Yarrowia lipolytica: one gene and its partners. The protein of the gene in region 1 interacts with the protein of each later gene in a pairwise test. Links are inferred from orthologs where the notes say so. Each region holds a gene or a part of one and is shown in the gene's direction. Other genes may lie near its edges. The genes, in order: YALI1_B28744g, YALI1_C05423g and YALI1_A02974g.

Region 1 (3,356 bases):
CTTCTGTTGTCTCCGTCGCTGCATTTGTGTCTCCTGGCGCTGCGTCTGTGTTCGTACCATCTCCATTCAGAAGCCGGTCCATGTACTCCTGAACCACCTCTCTGTTGTGCTGGACGTCCAGATTTCGACGCAGAGCGCTCCGCAATAGTTGCGCCACCGCGTCCCGGGCCGGATCAGGAGGCCCGTTGTTTTCGCTCATCTTCAGTGTTTGTCTTCTGTACCTTGGTTGGTGGCGTTGTGAGTAAGTGGATATGCGTGCCGTGTGTCGAGTGCTCTTTATATGTCCAGTCAGTCACCTCTGCCGTGTAATGGTGCAAAGTAGTGCTGACTCCTCAAGGCCAATTTTTTTTTCTTCAGACCTTGGAGTAAAGATGTACAAGCGCGGTAGTAGAGCAGGTATAATAACTGTGGAGCTTATAATTAACAATCTTGCTTTCATTAGTTCAATAGCAGTGACGTCAGACCGAAAGCATTCGGAAAATGAGAAGACAGGTCAGCCGCACGCTTTGTGATATGGAAATCAGGCCCAAATTTTTCGTCCATATTCCCCATGTCAAAATCACCATTCACCCATGTAATCCCGCTACTTGCACGTGCTGTACTTCTGCCACCCTCCACTCCATTATACAACCGACTCATAGAACAGTATGGAATGTTGGGTTTGGGATATCCCAGATTATGGTCCCGTGGTGTGGTCACGTGATGAAAGCTCAAGGTGGATGGGCCGATATGCAATGTCACACGTGACCCGGCTTATATCCCCCCCCCCCCCCCCCCCACCTCCACCCGGTTGTAGCCTGTACATGTTGTATTGATGCACTCTGAAAATCGCCGTTGGGAACAGCTTAACTCCGAGTCCATGGAGATACCACCACTGTGAGCCATTTAGGTGGCATCTGAATGTGTACATGAGAGAGGGGGCGGATAACGTAGCATATAAAACAGATTGTAGTTGAGGTTGAAAAAAACAGAAGATGGATTCACACTCACCGCAGCTTCAGTACCACTCTTATACGTTCAACTAAGAAATTACCGCACTTTTCCATGGTTGCTTACTAACACACGGGTCCTCCACGCATGCACTCCCACAGCACACTCTATCTCCATCAGCAACATCCACACACACCACCATGGGTCTTCTCAACTCGGCGGACAAGGAGAAAATCAAGCGAGTGGTGCCGAAAAACACCAACAAGGTGATTGACTGCACCATCGCACGTCTCTACATTGCCTACCCGGACCCTGATAACTGGCAGTACACCGGGCTGTCTGGAGCGCTAGCTCTGGTGGACGATCTTGTGGGCCACACTCTGTTTCTGAAGCTCATTGACATCCACGGGTCGCGAGGCGTGCTCTGGGACCAGGAGCTGTATGTTGGCGTCAACTACTTCCAGGACAGAACGTTTTTTCACTCGGTGGAGCTGGAGGACTGTTTTGCAGGCTTTCTGTTTGAAGACGAGTCCGAGGCCGCTCACCTGTTCAAGCGGATCCAAAACAGAGAAAAGTACGCCAGCAAGGATACGGTCAAAAACAAGAACGCCATTGCGCTGAAAAAGGCCGCTCCAGCAGAAAAGGCTGCCGTGGGACCCAGAGGAGAACCCCGTACTCGACTGGGATACTCGGGACCCGTCTACTACGACGACGAGCCGCCGGAAGAATGGCGAGCGCTGTACAGAGAGTTGGAGGAGCAGGGAATCACTCCGGAGATGATTGCCGATAACACCGAGTTCATCAAGGAACACATTCGACAGACGGGAGGTCCTCTGGTGGGTCTGGAACCTCCAATCCCTCGAAACAGAGGCCGGGGACGAAGCACGAGTAATGCCACTTCTTCTTCGGCTGATACCAATGCCCGAAAACCCCCACCGCCTCCTCCCCCAGCTGCTGCTGCTGAATCAACCCAAAACAACGACAGAAGAGCAGCTCCTCCTCCCCCGCCGGCCTCGGCTCCCCCTAGCTACTCTAGCACTCCAGAGCCCGACTTGCCGGCCACCCCTGCTGCTCCCTCCGACCCACCAGCTGCTGTAGCACCCCCCAGACGGTTCAATGTGCCGCCTCCCCCATCTTTCATGGGCAAAAACGCAGGTGCTCCGCCTCCTGCGGCAACTCCAGCCTCTCCAACAGCAGCAGCAGCCCCACCAGCGCTTCCAGGACGGTCGCTGCCGCCGTCGCTGCCCTCTCGTGGTTCGCCAGCGCCCCCTGCACTACCAGGACGATCGGTGCCTCCTCCTCCAGAACTTCCTGGACGAGCTGTGCCTGCCCCTCCCCCCTCTCTGCCGGCACGAGGAGGAACCCCGGCAGCAGGAGGACCCCCTCCCCCTCCTCCACCCAGAGACGGAGCCACTCCTCTAATCGAAACCTCCTTCCTCCTCCCTCCAGATCGGCCAATTCCCCCCCCCTGCTGCTTGCCCCAAACTGCATACACACCCCCTCCCCCTCCCTGCAGCAGCTCTTCTCCAGCGGCAGACTCAGAGCCTCATACACTCTTCCTCCTCCTCCTCCGTCCCCCGGCCTCAGTCGAGACCTGTTCCTGGAGTTCCTGGAGGTGTGTGCCCCTCCTCCTCCCCCCTCCGCCCCCCCGCCCTGAACTTGCTGCAGCTGGTGGACCTCCTCCACCCCCTCCGCCTTCTTCCTGTGGCTGCTCCCTTCTTTTGGAAGTTGCTGCTCCCCTCCTCCCCCCGGTCCTCCCCCAGCCATGTCTTGAGGTCCTCCTCCCCCTCCCCCCCTTCTGGAGACTTTGGAGTCACTCCTGGTCCTCCTCCTCCTCCTACCGGAGACGCTGGTCGAGACGCGCTGCTGTCGTCTATCACAGCTGCTGGTGGAATCGGCTCTCTTAAGAAGGTGGACAAGTCGCAACTTGATAGACCTTCGGTCATGCTGCAGGAGGCTCGTGGAGAGAGCCCTACCATTCCTTCGGCTGCCCCGGGAGCTCCTGGCGGTGGCAACTCGCTGGCAGACGCCCTGGCCTCGGCTCTTAATAAACGAAAGGGCCAGGTCAGTAAGTCTGACGACGAGTCCGACGGTGATGACTGGTAGTATAATGACTATGTAATTAACAGATGAAACGATGGGGCTACGAGCAAAGCGAGTATGTTGTCCATAGACATGGTGTATAATTGGTAGACGCGGTCACACCGTCTTCTGCTATCGTGGATCCAATGCTTCATAGCATCTATTGAACATCTACGATTGATAGTTAATAGTCTGATTCAGTTACCGTTTTGAAGCACGTCTTTTGTGTCACGTGACGGTGGTCGAGTCACGTGCTTTATTACAGTGAACACTACAAGTATTAATTTCTTGTTGCTTGTTTATGTTCTCTGACCGTGCAATTTGGATGTCCTTTGTCTTCACTT
Region 2 (3,034 bases), on another chromosome or scaffold:
GAGTCTGCTTCAACATCTACAGATTCTAACTCTGCTACCGTTTCCTCTTCTGGCCAGGAGTCTGCCACTGGTTCCACGTCCGGTGCTGTTCCTACATTTGGTGAGCAGTCGGGCATCACGTCTGGATCTACCCCTACATTCACTGGTGACAATGGTTCTACTGCCACTGTCCCCATCTCGACAGAAGGCTCTGGAATCAACTCTGGAGAACTGGACTCTGCCACCCTTGAGGTCCCCACTGCTACATCTGCAACTGGTACTGTTTCCGTTGAATCTCAGATCACATCTTCTTCTGGAGGTGGTGGAGGTCTTGCCTCTGAAGACATTCCTGGATCCGCTACTGCTACTGGCACCGCTACTGTTACTGGCCTGGTTCCTGATGTTACTGGCTCGGCAACTGCCACAGGTTTGGCTTCTGAGGATCTTTCCGGCACTATCAGCCCACTTCCTACTACCACCAACTTGTCAGGCGCCTCTCAGCCTCTCACTACCATGTCTACTTCTACACTTGGTGGCGGTGGTGCTATTGATGGTGGTTCGAACGGATCTGGCTCTGGTTCAGGCTCTGAGGGCTCCGGCTCTAGTTCAGGCTCTGAGGGCTCCGGCTCTGGTTCAGGTTCTGAGGGCTCCGGCTCTGGCTCTGGCTCTGGTTCAGGTTCTGAGGGCTCCGGCTCTGGTTCTGGCTCAGGTTCAGGTTCAGGTTCTGAGGGCTCCGGCTCCGGCTCTGGCTCTGGCTCTGGCTCTGAGGGCTCCGGCTCTGGCTCTGGCTCTGGTTCAGGTTCTGAGGGCTCCGGCTCTGGCTCTGGCTCTGGTTCAGGTTCTGAGGGCTCCGGCTCTGGCTCTGGCTCTGGTTCAGGTTCTGAGGGCTCCGGCTCTGGCTCTGGCTCTGAGGGCTCCGGCTCTGGCTCTGGCTCTGAGGGCTCCGGCTCTGGCTCCGGCTCTGAAGGTGAAGCACCTCCCCAGTCGCCTGGTGGTGAGACCCTGCCTCCCCAGGCCAACTCTGCGAAGACTTATGGTGTCTCTGCTGGTATGATGGGCATGGTTATTTTGGTTGTTCTTTTCTAAGCTAGTTAGCTAGCTATTGGTTTCTACCTCTTAAAATTGTCAATTGTTAATGAATTCTTTGTATAAAAAATCTTGTTCCTTTTATTATTATATTTATATGTACATTTATTGTACAAGTATTACTGTACTTGTAGTTGTAGTCTCCAATAAGTACAATGCCTTGCTTGATAGTTTATTGAGCTCGGTCGTAAAGACGAGTAGGGCTATGCAAGATTAAGAAGTGTACTGAACTCTATGTATTTTGAAATTCTGGGTCTCGAGGTTCTAGAAGCCCGGTACGTCAGGGACCCTCGCCTGTCTGGAGGATGGCCAAAAACACGATTTATATATTTGCTGCTCTGTTTGTGTTTCTTGGTTTTATTGCCGGTCACGTGTTATGGAAATTCACGCAGATTTTTATACACCATCAGAGTGGCTGTGCTAAAATTATTAGGCTACAGTGTACATATAATAACCCATCTCTCGGCCACTTGTACTCTTGCACTCCCACCCTTTCCACGCTACACAGCACACGCTAGCGTTTTTTTACATCACTTTTACGATGGCGGCAGTTATCAACCGAAGTGTGACTTCGCTCCACAACGAGCTGGAGTTTCTGTTTGAGTCCGAGGTGATTTCCCAGGCTCTTTATGACGATATTTGCAACAAGATCCCTCGAAAGCTGACACCTGGTCAGAAGCTGGACTTGCCTGGTTCTCAAGTTGTTGGCATTGCCGAGGTGACTGAGCGGGTTGCAGCTGTTCAAATCACCCCTGCTGCCCCCTCCCCTCCCGTTGCTGTTCATCCTGCCTCTGCTGGTTCAGGTGGCAAGGTGGAGGCTCTCTATGACTACGTCGCACAGGACCCCACCGACCTGGCTCTTGTCAAGGGCGACCAGATTGACATCATCGAGAAGCTGAACAACGACTGGTGGAAGGGCCGAGGCCCCAGTGGCAAGGAGGGAATCTTCCCTGCCAACTACGTCAAGGAACTGTCTGATACTCCCTACATGGCTCCTCCTCCCGTGAGCCGATCCCAGAGCACTGTATCGTCTGTGGCTGCGGCAAGCTCCACCACCACTCTTCCCACGGTGTCCTCTTTGGCCGTGAACGAGGAGAAGTCCGAGAAGTCGGCCTACCCTTCTTACAAGCAGCCGGACTACGCCGCTCCCGCCGCCCATTACAACCCTCCTCCTCCCACACAGTACAACCCCCCTCCCCCAGAGCAGTATGGCTACCAGGCCCCACCTCCCCCGGGATACCAGGGAGGGTACCAACCTCCTCCTCCCCAAGGCTACCAGGGCCAGCAGCAGCAGCAATACTACCAGCCCCCTCCTCCGCAGACTGTGGTTGTGGAGCAGGGCCAGCAGCATCAGGGTGGCGGAGGCCATCTCAAGAGCATTGGTTCAAAGTTTGGAAACGCAGCCATCTTTGGTGCTGGAGCTACCCTTGGTGGAGACCTCATCAATTCTATCTTTTAATCACGAAGTAACGTCATAGAGAATATATTTATTGCCTAGTCTGTTGACAGACCATTGCCAGGCTCTTAAAGTGAGCTAATTAACCATCTGGGACTCCATTCTCAATCAGAGGGAGGTTACAGACCTGCATCGATCAGGCATGAGCGAGACGTGCGGAACATGGAGATCTGAACCCTCCCGAGCTTCCTAAGTTTGGCTCGTTCTTGTGGGTCCAATCTTGAGGTAAATCGTGGGCTGTGCGACTACTTGAACTCGTACTGTACTTGTACGAAACGCGTTCGTAGGTGGAGTTGACTGACTGTTGTCATAGGAACATGGTCATGGCGTCTACTTGTACCATTGTTTGTTATTGTGTTGTATGGTCTAGTCTGTTGCTGCCTGCACACTCTTTTGATTTGGCCCCCACGCCGTCACGTCACTGTGCATAGATATACGAAGGAGTGTATTTGAGAGTCCAGAAAATGCGAAAAAGAAAAGCTGATTGATAATTCCTCGGAACTTCGCTTGGAG
Region 3 (3,755 bases), on another chromosome or scaffold:
TTACATCCGTACAGTACCGCAGAGGAATTCACTAGACACCCCCTATCTTCTCCCCTTTGAATATGGGCTCTAATCTCAACATTTAGTCATGATTTGTAAGAAGTAAGCCAGTATACACAACGAAGGTGGCCGTGTTTTGACCATTCATGTAATTATAGTCGAGTGAATGACATCATAGTGTCATAGAGCCATAGAAAAGTCAGCATCAGTTCGCCTTGTTCACAGATCCGAGAGTACCTTCTCAAGGAAGTCATCTCTGGCGGGGTAAGCTCCACAAATTCGTCTGTTTCGACCATTTGAGTGACACCTTATCGCTCGTACGGCACCGGTGCTTGTACAATTGCGCGTGTCGATGAGTCCGTCGGTGACAGTTGCACTCCAGTAGGTACGAAGCCAAGCACAGGATCAGATTGTTCTCACCTCGCCATCTTAATCTGTGATATGCGACCTTCCACCTGCCACCTACGGCTAGAACGACTTCCCCTTGGCTCCAGTGACTCGTTCTGATTTCAGAGCAGCTTGCAGTCGTGTTACGAGTATGTTAGCACAGGATCGTATGTACTGTATGTGATCGCCAATAATGTTAACTACTACCCAAGTAAAGTGGAGGAACGTGTCGGAGTTTAACAGAGAATTACTTGAGGATATTATGCTGTTGTTAAGAGTAGAGCCTTCGACCATTTTCAATTGATATGGTAGAGTAGGAGACATCACAAATCAAATACCCAAATGTCTGAATCAAATAACAGGGACGTCTGCATCAATCAGTCAACTTATACTACCACTTGCCAAATAAATATTGCCTGAAACAGACATGTTTTTTATTTATTATTCTAGGGACTTTCCAAGCCTAACCTGACATACCCACTCAATCAATGCACTTTTAGGGCACGGCTAACCTCTAGGCTAGCGGCTTGGCACCCCTGAGTTCCGAGCGAGTTACAATTCACGGGTCCCTTGCAGGCGCCACAAGGGACGCTGAAGGCACCAAAATCAAATTAATCGAAAAAACGACCCTTTTGGCCGTCGCTGGCGGTCTTTTCTCGCAGCTGGAGACCCCAGGTGGCGAATACAGGCAGTCTTAGTGTGGCGTTCAGCAACCGACGTCATGCGGTGTAAGGAGAAATGAGGGAGGGCCTCGCTAGTGCGATAGCGTGATTGGAGCAGCCATTTATATGAAACCGCTTATATAATTGATCTCCTGAGCGGGACACATGTCCTCGACACGGCTGTCAGCCACACACGTGCACATATATAGCTGTTTATTAGCCCTTGAGCCCCCAGATCACATGTCCAAACACGCCAAAAAAGTTAACTTTTGGATACACCCAGGCCGCAGGGTGGTGCATATAATTGTCAACCGGAGCAGGAGAAGGTGGTACCAAGCACTTAGATACACCTTCACCGAGACGGCTCGAGGACTGATATTCGACAAATTCACGGCACTGCATACACAAGCGTCCCCCACCCTCACGAATTTCCGGAGACTACAATATCACTCGCCTTGTTACTGCCGGTTGTGATACATCTGCAACATGTCACCAACGAAGAAAGCGACGAGGCCGACGAGTGGAGGCTCCAACGGGGCGGCTTCCAACGGCGACGTCACCGACGGAGACAGAGTGTTCAAATCTGGCTACGACCGACTAGCTAGTCTCGATCGGGAAGCCGCTCAGTCGGCAGAATACACTGAGGAGGGAATAAGCAACAACGAAACACACCGAACTCTGGGGATCCAGTCAGGACGCTTGTCGGTGGTCACCAAGGACCTGATGCCCTCTCCGCAAATGCCTAATGCCTCCGATCTGTCTCCCAAGACTTCTACACCAGCCCATCATTGGGGTACTCCCGGTACCCAGCTGGTTCCTAATGAGTTCAAGACGCCTGATCAGTTGACGCATTTTGTGGATCTCGAGTCCAACCAGCAAAACAACTCGGATCGAGACTCGCTCGCCTCGGGATCGTCCACATGGATGGGTGTTTTCTCTCGAATCGGACGAAAACTATCTACAGCATTTCCTGTGCGACGACCAGACCGCAACCCCGCACAGGAACGGGCAGTCGAAATCTACTACTCCGTCTTCAAAAACCTGCCAGAATTCGAGTCCCGACAAATTCTCGATACCTCCGAAGAAGATTACAACTCAGCGGTGCATTTCGGAGAAGTCATTGAGTCGGTGATCGAGGCCATTTCGCACGGAATCTTTCCCAGACTCATCGCACAGGGCTCCAGTGGCAGCTACTTTGCCTACAATGAACACCATGAAGTTGTGGGTGTATTTAAACCAAAGGACGAAGAGCCATATGGACCTCTGTCTCCGAAATGGACCAAATGGCTACACCGAAACTTGTTCCCATGCTTCTTTGGACGCTCCTGTCTCATTCCAAACACCGGATACATTTGTGAGGCCGCGGCATCGCTATTGGACCGCAGACTGCAGACGGGAATCGTCCCTCATACAGAGATTGTCTATCTCTCCTCCCCAACATTCTACTATCGATATTTTGAACGTCGACGGGCCAAAAATGACGCTCGTCTACTGCCACGAAAGCCTGGCTCATTCCAACTGTTTCTGCACAACTACGAGGAGGCCGATGTGTTTTTTAGAAAGCATCCCTGGCCCGACAAACGACGTCAGCAGTACGGAGCTGCATCGGAGTCGGACATTTGGACCCCTGCCGTTCAAAAACAGTTTCGTTTGGAGCTCGAGAAGCTCGTGATTCTCGACTACATTATGCGAAACACAGATCGAGGTCTCGACAATTGGATGATCAAGCTGGAGTGGGTGGATGCTTCGTCAGCCCATCCGCAATATCACTCGCAGGGCTCCCCTTCACGAGGTGCCACACCCCACTCTTCTCATTCTCCTATCAAGGTGCCTCGACTCAAGATAGGAGCCATTGATTCGGGTCTTTCGTGGCCCTGGAAGCACCCTGATGAATGGAGATCGTATCCGTTTGGCTGGCTCTTTCTTCCGCTAGAACTTATCGGTCAGCCATTCTCCAGAGAAACAAGAGAGCACTTCTTGCCGCTCTTGACATCTCCCCGATGGTGGGAACAGACCTACGTGGAGTTCCGAGACCTTTTCAGTGTCGACCCCGACTTCCGGGAGCGCATGTGGAAAAAACAGTGGGCTGTGATGAAAGGTCAGGCCTTCAACGTCGTTGAAACGCTCAAGTCTCATGACCAGGGCCCTCTAGAGCTTGCCCGGAGAGACAAGGTGCTGATTTGGGACGGAGAGATGGACATTCCCGTTCGAATTCCTATCGAAACACTCAACTCAGCTATTGGAACCCCTCTGCTGAACAGAGCTTCCACTCCATCGAACATGCATTCCCGGCAATCCAGTGTTGACGAGAACATGTTGTTGCCTGCTCTCAACTCGTTGTCTGTGTCGCCAAACAAAAATCAGAGCCTCAATAGCGACCAGGTTCCACTCCTATCCTCCTACGACAACGCTTCGTCTTCAGCAGGACCCTCTACTGCGCCAGCTACGGTTCCTAATCAGAAACTGCGGCCTTCCAAGGGCTCCTCGCTCAGTCTGGAGGCCAGGTATAGAGAGCTCGAGTGTTCTAGTCCCACCAAGAAGAACGCCGTTGCATTTTCCAAGCGCCACGGAAGACGTCAGAGTCTGTGGGACGAGCTCATCAGTGAGAATGCCACCAGCCGTCCGCTGAGAGTAGCTGATAACAACAACACAGACTCGCCTATCAATGACGTGGGATTTTCGCATGCCGAGTCTTCTTACCAAGCC

The links.
Region 2: the proteins of YALI1_B28744g (region 1) and YALI1_C05423g interact in a two-hybrid assay, tested with the Saccharomyces cerevisiae proteins (4 studies listed by BioGRID). The link is inferred for Yarrowia lipolytica from reciprocal best matches to the Saccharomyces cerevisiae genes LAS17 and LSB1.
Region 3: the proteins of YALI1_B28744g (region 1) and YALI1_A02974g interact in a two-hybrid assay, tested with the Saccharomyces cerevisiae proteins (2 studies listed by BioGRID). The link is inferred for Yarrowia lipolytica from reciprocal best matches to the Saccharomyces cerevisiae genes LAS17 and LSB6.

The regions. Positions count from the first base shown.
Region 1 is NC_090771.1:2,873,327-2,876,682, forward strand, and holds YALI1_B28744g (uncharacterized protein), read left to right. Parts: upstream 1-1,130; coding exon 1,131-2,837; downstream 2,838-3,356. Other genes in the region: YALI1_B28735g (uncharacterized protein), read right to left, coding at 1-199; YALI1_B28766g (uncharacterized protein), read left to right, coding at 3,314-3,326.
Region 2 is NC_090772.1:540,961-543,994, reverse strand, and holds YALI1_C05423g (uncharacterized protein), read left to right. Parts: upstream 1-1,606; coding exon 1,607-2,524; downstream 2,525-3,034. Other genes in the region: YALI1_C05494g (uncharacterized protein), read left to right, coding at 1-1,065. UniProt on the Saccharomyces cerevisiae protein: Involved in resistance to EDTA.
Region 3 is NC_090770.1:295,260-299,014, reverse strand, and holds the start of YALI1_A02974g (uncharacterized protein), read left to right. Parts: upstream 1-1,535; coding exon 1,536-3,755. Other genes in the region: YALI1_A02977g (uncharacterized protein), read right to left, coding at 994-1,184, 1,228-1,252. UniProt on the Saccharomyces cerevisiae protein: May play a role in endocytic and/or exocytic pathways.